Schizosaccharomyces pombe: one gene and its partner. Changing the gene in region 2 together with the main gene of any one other region gives a genetic interaction. Each region holds a gene or a part of one and is shown on either strand. Other genes may lie near its edges.

The links. A genetic interaction does not mean that the proteins touch.
Region 1: of msy2 (region 2) and msy1, changing one enhances a phenotype caused by changing the other (phenotypic enhancement), as found in Schizosaccharomyces pombe (2 studies listed by BioGRID).

What each region holds. Positions count from the first base shown.
Region 1 is NC_003421.2:616,848-623,761, reverse strand, and holds msy1 (MS ion channel protein 1), read right to left. Parts: upstream 4,915-6,914; 5' UTR 3,739-4,914; coding exon 703-3,738; 3' UTR 540-702; downstream 1-539. Other genes in the region: transporter mug73, read left to right, coding at 1-155.
Region 2 is NC_003424.3:4,287,474-4,293,707, forward strand, and holds msy2 (MS ion channel protein 2), read right to left. Parts: upstream 4,289-6,234; 5' UTR 3,451-4,288; coding exon 928-3,450; 3' UTR 536-927; downstream 1-535. UniProt on the Schizosaccharomyces pombe protein: Regulates intracellular calcium levels and cell volume for survival in response to hypo-osmotic shock. Involved in maintaining vacuole integrity and protecting the nuclear envelope upon hypo-osmotic shock.

The sequences.
Region 1 (6,914 bases), on a different chromosome or scaffold from region 2:
CTCAATCGATACCCTTAGGGGCATGCAGTCCTGCTGATGACAAGTTTTCAATGTGTCCGGACATGGAGGCACAAAACCAAGCTGATGATTTGGCCGTTGAAACTCGCATTCAAATTTCCAATTTACCTTCTTCACCTACGAAAAATAATTGCTAATAACAGTACGCATCGTTGCAGTTATCTTTGCTTAGTTATAGAAATTTACCTTCCGTTTTTTTTTTTTTTGTTTTTTAATCATTATTTGTTTCCTGAATGTTTAAAACAAACTCGAAGTTTCGCTACGAGAATTTCGTTGGCATTCTAAAACACAAACACTTTTTCGTGAAAAATTACGATTATGAAAACGAAATAATTATTATAAAAACGAAACCTTTGAACAATTATTAACGTTCATTCGCACTTGAAACGTCTAAATTTACGACGGTGAGTCATTGTTTACGTGAAAAAAGCATTATACTAGTTTTAGTTTAAGATTATTCGTAAATCATTTGCATAACTTTTACGAAACTTTACAAGGCATAGCTAATATTAATACAAAAATTTGCTGTTGAGATACAATATACGTTTAAACATTTCATAGAATAATAAATAAAAACTAAAAAAAAGAAACAAATAGTGCCCAAAATGGTAAATAGCCACTTTCAACGAATGAAGTAAGTAAAACTAGCATGAGCGATGCAAGTTTGCAAAGTGTTATGGGTATTTAAAGTCGAGCAGACTTAGAAGTATTATTTTCGTTTGGCTCACGTAAGTCTTGAATTGATATATGCTGCAACGGAGGAACTGTACGAGCACTGGGTCTAGCCGACAAACGACTAGCTTTAGAGGAAAAGCTAAAACGAGCACCTGACGTACGCGATGCATTTTCGTTTTCTTCATTCGAACTAGATTCTTGTTGAGAACGTTCGTACTCTTCCTCTTCGGCTCGGCGACGTTCCTCAGCTTCGCGTCGCATGGCCTCTGTGCCAGCGTTTTCAATGACAGCATCGGGAAGACTATCACGACCAAGCCTTTTACTTCCAATATCAGCAACATCATCAAAAGCAGGCATCAGATGCCGTGTTCCAAGGGAAAAGTCAACACGCTTTTTAGAAACACTAGCGGTATCGGAATCTGAACTACCAGGAGGAGTAGGTTCGCGGTAAGGATATGCTTTTGGGTTCTTCAGAATTCCTCCGCCAACAGTGCTGTCGCGATGATTTTCAGTACCACCACCATCATTACCACCAGATAACTTAACACCCTCCATTGAACCATTGTTGAAGTTGACATACATAGGTGAATCCTTTGATTTACCAGGGCTGTTGAAAATAGGAGATACAATATCCAATTCCTGCATATAAGTCATCAATGCACACATAAACATATTTCTTCGACGCATACGTAAAACCTCGTCTTGAAAGTTATATTTATGAAAGAATACAACACACAAAGACATGGAATAGAGATCCGGTAAATCCGTAACTTCAGTTAGTAAGTCAGGTTTATAATCACGCTTCTCTTCTTTCAAAAAATCAATAATTTTGATTCGCAGTTGTTCAATTTGCTGAAGAGTAGTTCCAAACTTCAGGTTAACGGTGACTGGGTCAGCAATGCCATCACTACGACGCATGTTCAAAATCCAAAGGGTGTTCAGCAAACTGTTTGGAGCTTGAATGACTTTTCCAGTCAATAGACGAAACTCGGTAGACATGATGGAAATTTCCTTGACCATCGCTGAAGTGACTGTGCCATTGATCATGACATCGACACGATCGCCCACATCGTAAGGATGTTTCACAAATACGAATATAATAGAACTAAGTAATTCCTGTGCGGAGCCGGAGAACAGCCAAGACAAACCTAGCAAAGTAGTTCCAGCAGAGGTAAGTACACCGCTAAAGTTACGGGCAATCAAGTATAAGAAAATAAAAAGAGTAATGACAGCCACTATAAACATGCAAATACCATCAAGCTTAGAAATGGAATCGTTCAAGTCACGAAGTGAAGCAGAAATGCTCTTACGCTCTTTTCCAATTTCCACACATGCGAGTTCAATTTCTTCACAGGTGATATCACCATTTAGATCACGATCAAAAATAGAATAACATGCCTCTAAGGTGGCATTATCCACTTCACCAGTTTCATCGGTGTATACGGGAATAAAATCATCCAGTACTAAATCGGGATTCTCAGGATTCACCAATGCCTCAAATAAGCAACGAGCTAGAGATTGACAACCGCGTGTGGTCTTTAACAAGTGTAGCACAACACTTTTAGGAGAAGAAGATTTTTCGACCTCACGATTAGTAATCTCACCAGCCACTTTGTTAACCATATCCGTAGCGAAGTTGAATGCAGAGATAGCTTTGTAAGTGGTTTTATTCAATGCATTCTGAGCAACCCGAGCAGCTGCTGCGCGCTTCTTGCCATGTTGGTGATCAGCAAACTTAAAAACATCTGCTTGAGCACGATGGATAGCATCTTTGAAATCAAAAGAACGCTGTCGCGCATATCCATACAAACGGGCGAGTTCATTAATAGCAAACTTATTGTAAAGGATTCTAGATTCATATTCACGACGGTGAAGCGACATGGCGATCAACTGCATAAGTACTTTCTCCACCAAATTCATAATTGAGGTGATGAATAAAGTGATAAGTACATTGTTGGCGCTCTGTTGCCAAGGGAGTTTTACGCGTACATGATCAGGTACACCATAATCACCAATATGACGGCGGGTCATAATGGGAAGGAAACTGACATATACAGCTAACATCCAAAGGAACAATGTAATAGGAAACTCAAGGGCAACTGCCATGCATCTCCATTTAGTAACGTTGTTACTGATGAAGGAGACGAAGAAGGCAAAGAAATAAGGAATTACTTTGGCAGCATAGCGAGCAGCCCATATAGAGAGCCATATAATTTCCCACCAGATGGCCATCCACATCAAATCAACACCTCCAACGTGTAAATGGCGCTCATATTCATGACCTAGTTCATCACGGTAAGGAGGTTGTGGGTGATAAAAGCGACCAATGAATACTGGAATCAAGAGTAAAACCCCGAGAGGAATAATGTAAATGAGCGAACGAAGGTAAAAGCTTCGCTGTTGAATAAATTTGAATATGCGACCAAAAATAGTTACAGGATGGTCCGGAGCCTTAATAGGAGCTTCAGTACCAAACGTCACTACACCAAAGTTGTCTAAATGATTCTCAGCCTCTTGAGCGGCTTCTTCATTCTCCGCAGTACGTTCATAATCGCCCGACTTTTTAGACTTGGAGGTACGCATGGATTTAGAACGATGGGAAGAAAGGCGTCGCATAGATCCGCGAACACTTCGGCCGGTAGGACGTCTTTGCAAAGACTGAGAACCACGGACAGCCATTTCGGCATTAAAAATCTGATTTTCATCTTCCAAAGTCATGTGCGAGCGATATGAGACGACAGAAGCAATAGGCGATCGAGATCGCTCATGTTCAGGAGAGTGCGGCAACTGCCTTTGTTTGGATTCTGGGTGCAACTTTGATAGTTCCATTTCCAGGGACGAAGTATCACTAGTCCCAGTATGACCTTGATTTTCTGTAGAATGCTGGGGAGAATGCTGAGGTTGGTGAGCCTTGGCATCAGAGTTTTCGTTATCAGCTTGATCAGAATTGGGATCCTGATTAGTATACTCTGGCGGCATACCGTCTTTCGAGTTTGACCAATGATGGCGACCAGGACTAGAAGTAGGAGAAGTAGGAGAAGACATGATTAAAGGAGCGAGCGAAAACCGTAAGTATGAAGAATTTAAAAAATAAGAAACTGTCTGAAAAGGTTTAAATGAAAAAGGGAAAAGAAAAACAGACAAGGATGAATTGATTTGAGTTACCAGGAATAGGGAATATGATGAAAGGAATGAGAAGAAACTATCGTCCAGAGGAAAAGAAAAAATACACAAGAGGGAATAAATAGAAAACTTGACCAAACGTCAATAAAATGCAGAAATCCAAGGATGAGTAATGATTAAACACAAGTACAAGGAAGGAACTAAAAATGAGAGGAAAAACAAAAAAGTCGATAACTTGGGTACCTAAAAAAAAAAGAGATTCTAAATGTTTAAAATAGATAGCTTGGAATGGGGATGTGGTTGACAAATGAGGTCAAATAATCAATCGTGAGATAAACAATTTAACTCTAAGGAAAAAATTTTTGAAAGTAAAACCGCAAAAAGACCCCAACAACAAAGAACTGTAAAAAATACTTTTATTTTTTATTGCTTGGACAAATTTAGTATAAGATTAACAATGGCAACAGATGAAACAGAACTAATGAAACAACCTATCAACCATTCAGTATGCAACCAACAGTGTGTATAAGACAAGATGAGTAAAGATTGTAGAAAGAGAATGTTTGAAAAAGATCAAGTTGTTTAAATGTAAAATTGTTAGCACAAGAAGCAAAACGCCGCAAACCGGTCTTTAGAGTTGAGTTTAGATATAGAAAAAAATATAAAAGGAAAAAAAAAGCGTTGAAAAGTACTACAAAGAAATTTCACAAAGAGTACTGAAAACAAGCTGAAAAGTGATGATTATCTTTTATTGAAGCCGCGATTCCAATTCACTCAACAAAACCGAAAAAAATCAACAACGACCGGGAAAAGACAAAAAAATAAAAAGGAATGAGAGTCGAACGTTTTAGATGTTTAAAGTTGGAATGAAATGCGAGATATAAACAAATAAACCGTACTGAATATCACAAATAAAGCGCCAAGAACACAGAGCTAAGAATGTGAAGAAAGTACAATTTTTTTCTTCACCAGTAGAGGTTTAAGAGAAAAAGAAAATCTCAAAACTAGGGGGGAGAATTTCGATATATCTTTCTACTGGTGAAATAGGACAAGAATTGGTGGTTGAATGTATAAAAATTCAACACGTTGGTTATCTGCAGGTGGCTCAAAATAGATGTAGCTTTCTTATATATTGGACAGCATTATGATGTCATTGCACGCAAAGATGGGAAAGGGAGAAGCAGGAAAAATTTGCAATTCAGGAAAAGCGAATCACAAGCGAGCTCATTAAAGTAGCAATTGCGTAGGATCGTCGGAGACACATAGGGTACAGTAACGCAGCCGAGTGTGTAGAAAAAGGAAAGAGAAGGAGGGAGGGAGGGAAGGATGGTAAAGAGGATAAGATAAAACAAAAAAAAAGATGAAACCAAAAAAATAAGTAATATGAATGCTAAAGCTATCTCATCTAGAAGGGTCAAAAAATGAGCTTTTCTAATGAAGTGGGTCTATTATCGGAGACTTGCACATCATCCAAGATGACTTCCCATGACTTGCCTCGCAACGATATCTGCTCTTGTTATTTGCATCCTGTGTGTTAGCTCCAGCATTTTCTCTTCTCTTTTGCTTTATCGCCGAGCTATGAGTAGCGAATAACTCTATTCCTAATCTGGTTACGGCGATCTTGCCATGTCCAACGACCCGGATCCAAAAGTAACAATAAATAGATGAAAATGATGGACAAGTGGTACCCAAGAAATATGCTTATTCCATTAAATTATGCTTATACCTAGTTTTCTTGAGGATTCGTTTCTCCAGTGGTTTGCCTTTTCACTTTTTCTTATAGCAAGTCAACAGCATTTCTACTGTGTTTTGACCGGTTTTAACAGATCCGGTGGAAGGGTTTGGTGGTTTATGAAATCACATCAAAGTACACAGCGACGAGCGATCCATCGGTTTCACAATTTTCCTGGTTAGGGTTAAAGCGGAAAGGGAAGGGAAGGGACGAGATGATGGAGCAGAGTAATATGACGGGCGGCGAAGGACGACGTAAATTGAGATATGGATACAGATGTAGACGTAGACGTAGACTTAGAAAGGTTGTAAAAATAATCCGAGCTTGATGCAATGCTAGGGAAAAGAGGAACGCAGCATAGAGTTGAGACTAGTGCAGACAAGTATAAAGTGTGAAAGGGAATGGACGATGGAAGTATGGACTGGACCATAGGCAGCTTGCAATGTTTGTAGTTAACATTTCGAGTAAGAACAAGAAAATTGTCGAATTATCTAATCTACTTGGAAACTGAAATTTGAATTTTTTAATCAAAGCGGATTGCAAAACTGCAACATTGTTTATTGAAATTTTTCTCTACCCAATTTCGCCTGTAATCCAGGCCGTACACAGAGGTTGATAAACTTTCGAACTCATTACTATAGCGATAATGAGAGTGATTTTCGAATCCTTGCTTACTACACAGTAAACTTCACTATTTGGTAAACAATGTCTTAAGATGACTGAGCTGGATAGAAGAACAGAATGAGAGAAGTGAAGAGGAATAAAATGATTTACAAAAATCACTATTTTGAAAGTAAGGAAAATTTAATTCCTGCAAAAACCTGATCTGGTCAAATTGAACATCATTATAACCGTAATTCCGTGCCAGCAAGTTTTTGGCTTTCATTCCTTTTAGATGCGCGAAAATGATCGATGATATCAATTTCATTTTCTTCCTAAAATAGTTGAAAATGTCCTCATCCTACAAGTAGAGGAATTAATGCAAAAGATCATAGTGCCTGTCGTTATGCGCAGGTTCGCATTGAGTAGACGCGACGTCTTATTTCACTGTCGGATAAGGATGTATTGGTTTTAATCACAATACGTATTATTACGCCGTGCACTATATAATAAACATTGAAAAAAGTTGTATAAATTAAAAATAAACCAAAAAAAGGCACGAATCGATTCGTTTAAAATTACTATCCAAGGTTTCTAATTCCAATAGATGTTTTTGGTGATCAGTCTAAGAACTGCTGTTTTCAACACTGCAAAAGTTTATAATTATAAATTGTATTTAAACCCTTTGTAGTGATAGGAAAATGCACTATACCGTACAAAGTTGACAAGCAAAGCAGCAAACATATTTCTTAGAGACAGGGCGCGC
Region 2 (6,234 bases):
TGTGACTGTCTTTTTGAATAATTTAAGGAACTCCGCTTATGGTACACTATGTACAACTGCGCAAAGTTGCTTATTGAATACTGTCAGTTATACTAAACTACGCTATAATGTACTACGTTATGAATCACTATATGCCACATGTTCATAATGTTCTATTTGCTCTATCAGCTTTACATGATAAGTTATCAAGACATATATAATATTAGTTGTAATAAGGTGAATAACTGTCAGTTATGATTCTTGCTGTTTCAAATGGTTATAAATTGAGAACAACTGAACCTCATTCCTGAGTTCAGTTATAAGCCATATCAGTGATAGGTAACATTATAACCTAGTTAATACGATACCTATACTCAGTTGCTACTTATATTACTTGCGTATTGCAATATAATAGATCACAAGGAAAACTCACCGCAGCTTTACGTACCCTTAAAACAGATACTAAACTGCGTAGCTGACAAATACGGAGTCAAAGATTAGGAGTAAGGTGAAAGATATACGCTAATGTAGTACAACGTAATGTGCCACAGTAAAGTATTTCTTCACGGATATCAGTTGGATGAATATTAATTCGAATACCTTGTTTTAGTTATACAAATACATATATAATTGTTGTCTTTATAACTATCAAATCATTATATTTTGTTTAAGTTAAAAAAGAAATTTGTATGAATAATAGGAGAAGATTGAATGAAGAGAGTCAACAGCGTGTAACGTAAAACTGAATTTTAAACTCCATGTTCCATAAAAATATATATATATATTTCCCAGGCGGAATAAAATGTACAATCGCAGCCAAACATTCAGAAGTCCCTTAAAATTCAAGGATATTAGTACATAGTGTTTTGAAATAATATTATTTACCCATGACCGGTCGTAATCATCACAAAATAAATAAAAGTTTAAATTCCGCCATAATTCAGCAGTTTAGTACTGAATTTGGCCATCCATGTTTTGCGAATAATCAATCGCTACCTGCATGTTATCTGTATTGGCTTGTGTATTGTCAGTAGTAGCCTGTGTATTATCCACATTGTTCTGCGTAGTATTTGTCGTGGTTTGCCCATTATCAGTCGCACCTTGTGAATTAGTAGCAGTGTTGTCTCCATTAGCATTACCATTCGATTCGACAACCGTATACGTAGCATTCTCCTGAGATGATTCATTTTGAGAATCATATGCCTCGATTGCACTTATTAAATTGGGTATTTGCCAAGTAGCCACGGATTGACGAAGGTACTGGGCAGGCAGATGACCTCTATCTTCTCTCTTATGATTATCATCAGAAGAATTATCTTCATCATGCGTATGGTAATTTCTGGATTCGCTATGAGCAAAACCCGGTTTATTAGATAGTGAATTCGAACTTGCAGTAGAAGATATATCAGAAAATTGAGGACGTGAAGCAGTTTTACTATATTCCGGCCTTTCCAAATTGTACTGTTCGATAACAAAAGGGTAATCAGGGGAACCGCGTACAGGGTCCGCAACAGCCGGCAAATTCGTTGTTGCAATCGCATTTTTAAGCGCACACATAAATTTGTTACGACGCACGCACTGCAATGAAACATTTTGCCAGTTAGATTTATAATAATATGTAACGGTAAATTTCAGTGAATCTAAAGTAGAAAAATCGGATACATTAAGATCGATGATAGGGCGAAAATCTCGTTCATTCTCCTTTACAAAGGTTAATAATAAATCACGAAGTCTTTCTAGCTGTTTGAAATCTGTAGCAAAAGGTGAAACAATGGTAATCGTTTCAGACTGAGGTTGGCTTCTGCGTAAATTCTCGATAAATAAAGTGTTCAAAAGTGAATTCGGAGCTTGCACGGTTGATCCTCCCATCGTACGAAATACCGTAAATAACAAAGAAAGCGAAACAACCTCATATTTGATATTGTTAACGATAACAACATCAGATATATCGAAGGGATGTTTGCTGAAAAGAAAAATAATTGAGGACATAAGTTCTTGAGCCGAAGTACTGAACACGAATGACAAACTTAGTAAAGTAGTACCAAACGCTGCTAAAATCGTTGCAAATGAGGTATCCAAAAATGATATAAAAGTAAGAACGGCGATTATGCCAACAACGCCAAGTCCAACTCGATCGAGTTTCCCAAGAGCAAGATCGACATCTCGCAAAGAGGAGCTAATCGAACGAAATTCTATAGAAATTTCACGCGTAAATTGTTCCATTTCATCCAGGGTGACAGTACGACTATAATCATTATCGAGTATATGAAAAATGTCATTAATTTCATCATCGGGAATAAGTCCTATCAAATCCTCTTTCTGAAAGCAATCTTCTCCTTCAGGGACAAGCGAGTACCAAATTTTTCTAGCTAAGGCTAGACATTTCTTTTTTGATCTTATTGTCTCAAGAATGAACTCCTGTTCCGGTGTCAAATCTTTGGCATGCTTTCCTAGCATATCCGTAAAAGCCGTGCTAATAGCATTTCTTGTTTTTGAAAAAATCCGCTTTGCATTTTTAGATATTTTCTTAACCTTTCTTAATTTTCCATTTCCACTGCCTTTAGATTCGGACATAGATCTGGTATCAATGAGTCCAAGCAAATAATCCTGACGACGGACTCGTGGACTATCGTGATAAGGTGCATCCAAAGCAGCAGTCAGCAGTTTAGCAAGCACTGCAGTATTTCTTTTGTTATCCGTAATCCGGTACTGATATTGCACTTCATGGTAATGGAATCCGATAAAATGCAAGAAAATCTTTTCAAGGAGCAGTACAATGCTTGTAACAACGGCTGCACCAAGGATTTTAGTAATGACTTTAATCCAACTTGGAACGCTAGCTGCGGTTTTGGTGACAAATACACTCTCCACAGCATTAGAACTAGCACTAGCGGTGGGAGTGGCAGTAGCACTAGTAGTAGTGGTGACGGTTGTGGATGTAAAGTTGCCCTTACCGATCATGATGGGAGAAAAGGTACAAACACAGACAATGCTACAGAAGAATATGGCGAGCGGCATTTCGAGAGCAGTAAGTATAACGGTGTACTTGTACATAGTAAACGGTAAAATACCCATCAAAGGATATAAAATGTAAGGCAAAAGTCGTGCTATCACCCTAGAAACCCAAAAACCACCCCAAGCAACCTCTAACCATACGAAAATCCAAAAGATTCGGACGCCACCAAGCTTAGCATTAGGGTACGGTGAAACACCAACTGCTAAAGGAATAACAAGAGCTCCAGCTAATGGAAACCAAATAGTAATCCATCGAGTAATGAATGAGAGATTATTGAACCATCGGTAGAACTTTACGATAACATACATAAGTTTAAAATCTGTCCTGTTTTTTTCCAAGAGCTGTTCCGGTTCTACATTGTGGTCCAGCTCATCGACCAATTTCTCAGTATTAGTAAACGCAGAATCATCTTGGTATCCAGAACGTCGATGCGGTTCTCTTCGGTGTTCGTTCATAATACAATTAAATTATGAATTGAATAAGAAAGCAAAGCTTTCGATTGGGTATACAAAATTTGAATGAGCAGAAGATAAATATTATGCAGCGGATATAATATGATGAAGGTGATAGAAGAATGAGTAGAAAAGAACAGTTATAATTGCAAAAACGAAAATGGAGAGAGAAAAAAACAAAGAAAAGATAAAATGATATACAAGGTTTTATGTAGTAAACTTGAAAAATAACACAAATAAGTAGGTTTAAACCAAAATATCAAATGAAGGGGGAATCCAACAATTTTTTTTTTTTAAAAGAGAGAGCAAGAAAAAAAAAAGAAAAGAGATAGAAATCAGTCCTATAAATTTTTTTAAACAACAAAAGACACAGCACGGTTTGAGAAAATTGATACTCTTGCAAAAAAATAAATTAGCCAAAGGAAAACGCTACAAACGTCTTTCTTATTTGTCAGGGACCAAAAAATTAAAGCAATTGAGTCCTGAATGATATAATTGTTAGTCAGGAAGACCGGTACGCAAGGAATTGGGGTAAAACAAAAATTAAAGAATTAAGCACACACTAAGAAAAAAAGACAAACGAGAAGGAAATGAGTGTTTAATACAAGAGGGGCTAAATGAAAAAGAACGGAAAAATGAAGACGAAAAATAAGTGCTATTTGAAACTTTTTATGGATTCGTGATGCAAGTGTGTTAATGATTGATTTATTCTAGTTTTCCCACTCTATGAGAGTATCTAGGAATTGACTCATATAAAGAAACTAATCTCACTTCTTTTAATGCAAATTAGAAGAAGGAAAATGAATGATTGATTAGATTCGAGTATTTCTAGATATGTGTTGGTGGTAAATGTGAGTAGGAGCATCCTTCTTAAAGGAAAGATGTTACCTACTAAAGGTCACAATTTCTTAAGGTTGATACATCAACGTAATGGTCTTAATAGCTAATAAGATTGCAGTACACGTCTGAGTTATCGAGACGGGTAAGCGCATTACGCAATAAGAGTTACATCTCATTATCATCTATTACGTAAATTTACTTTATTCATTAAATAAAGAAAAAGAGGAACAGGAGTTTAAATATTTATGTCCTTTGCAAGCGAGGGTTTAAATGCGATTTTAATAGAATAAACATTGAAAAATGAATTATGTTCTTTTATTTTTACCTCTTGCAAATACTTTTTTAATTCAATGAAATGAATGAGTTTTTAATTGTTTTATTATGCTACCAGTTTTCATAAATGAGGTGATGAATGATTTCTTGATGACTCTTCATTAAACAAATAACATCAGTATTCACTCAAGGATAACATAAGTGAATAAATTTTACGAATTCTAGAAATTTATTTCAACGAATTGACAAGGTCCTCTTAGTCGGTGTTTGAACCCAAAGAACAAACAGTAAACAAATACATCTTTGCTTGTGGACAATGTGAAATCAGATCATTAATAATCTACATCAGAATTGATTTTTAAAAATCTTCATTTTGAACATATGTGAAATCCTGTGGCTTAAAAATTGTGTTCTTCATGTCTGTTGCTTTTTCTGTGGCTTGTGCAGGTACATCGAATAATCATGGCATGGCTTGTTGAAAAGTTGATTTGTTACTCATTTTAAAGATACATCGAGCAACTCTGTAGTGAAAATAAGTTTGAGAAGACAAGAATGTAATTAACCATTCAAGCAAATGGAATGGATTAAAAACTGAGCACGAGAAAAAACTGAATCTTTTTAAAAAGACACAAAAAGACTATTCTTTTCTTCTTCTCGGATATTTTCAATTCATTAATATTTATATAACCTTTTCTGCATTTATATTCAACATCTCGACATTCAGACTTCAGAACAGCTGTTTTAAACAAATTAGTTAAACATTTAATGCGTACTAATCGGATAGTACAAGTTAATTAGTTTTCCTACGATTGCTAATAGCAATGTAATTTGGCAATTGGTTTAGCGTTACGACAAATTACAGTGATTCTTTCTTTCAACCAATATTAATGTTATGATATGTAAAGTATTTCTATCGCAAAGGATTATAATTTCGTAAATATTATGAATGCTCCTGTACAGTATCATGATTATAGTTAATTTGCTTACACTCTTACAGTAGTGCATTAGTATAATATCAGCTGAATTAACGGTTCAACCAGACTCTCTATAGAACGATGCAAGTCAGATAAATCGTAATTTGAACGAATGTCTCATACTACAATTTCTGCTGGAAACATTAATTTTCGATGATGGCGATTCGACGACAAAATGCGAACGTTCGATAACCATCCTTTCACACCATGAAGTATTCATGGTGTGAAATTTGGCATAGATTATATGTTTGTCCAATTTTTGTTTATAGGTTCAATTAAGATTATCAATTCGATTTTGAGGTAAGCAGCACAATTGGGGTTGCCAAAATTATAACTTCAGTTGACTTCAATAGGGCATATGTGCCCCCTTCCACAATTAGAGAATCAATTAAAGTTCTATCCATCTTTCGCCCATACTAATATTTCCCTGCATAAACTAGAATAGTTTTCCGTGGTATACATAGTCGAAACCTTTAAGAGATGAATGCATGTGCTGGTAACGGGTGTAAAGCTTAAATGTTATGTCTTCGTAATTCCTTTTGCATCAGACTTCATGGTTAGATCTGATATAGTGTATATAAATCCTGTCACTAGGTACACTAGTACGGCAGAGATACAGTCGCGTATAGGAATTGATCTGATCTGAACTATTTCTGGAAAGTAGCTTAAGAACTTTGATACACACAACGCAATTGTCAAC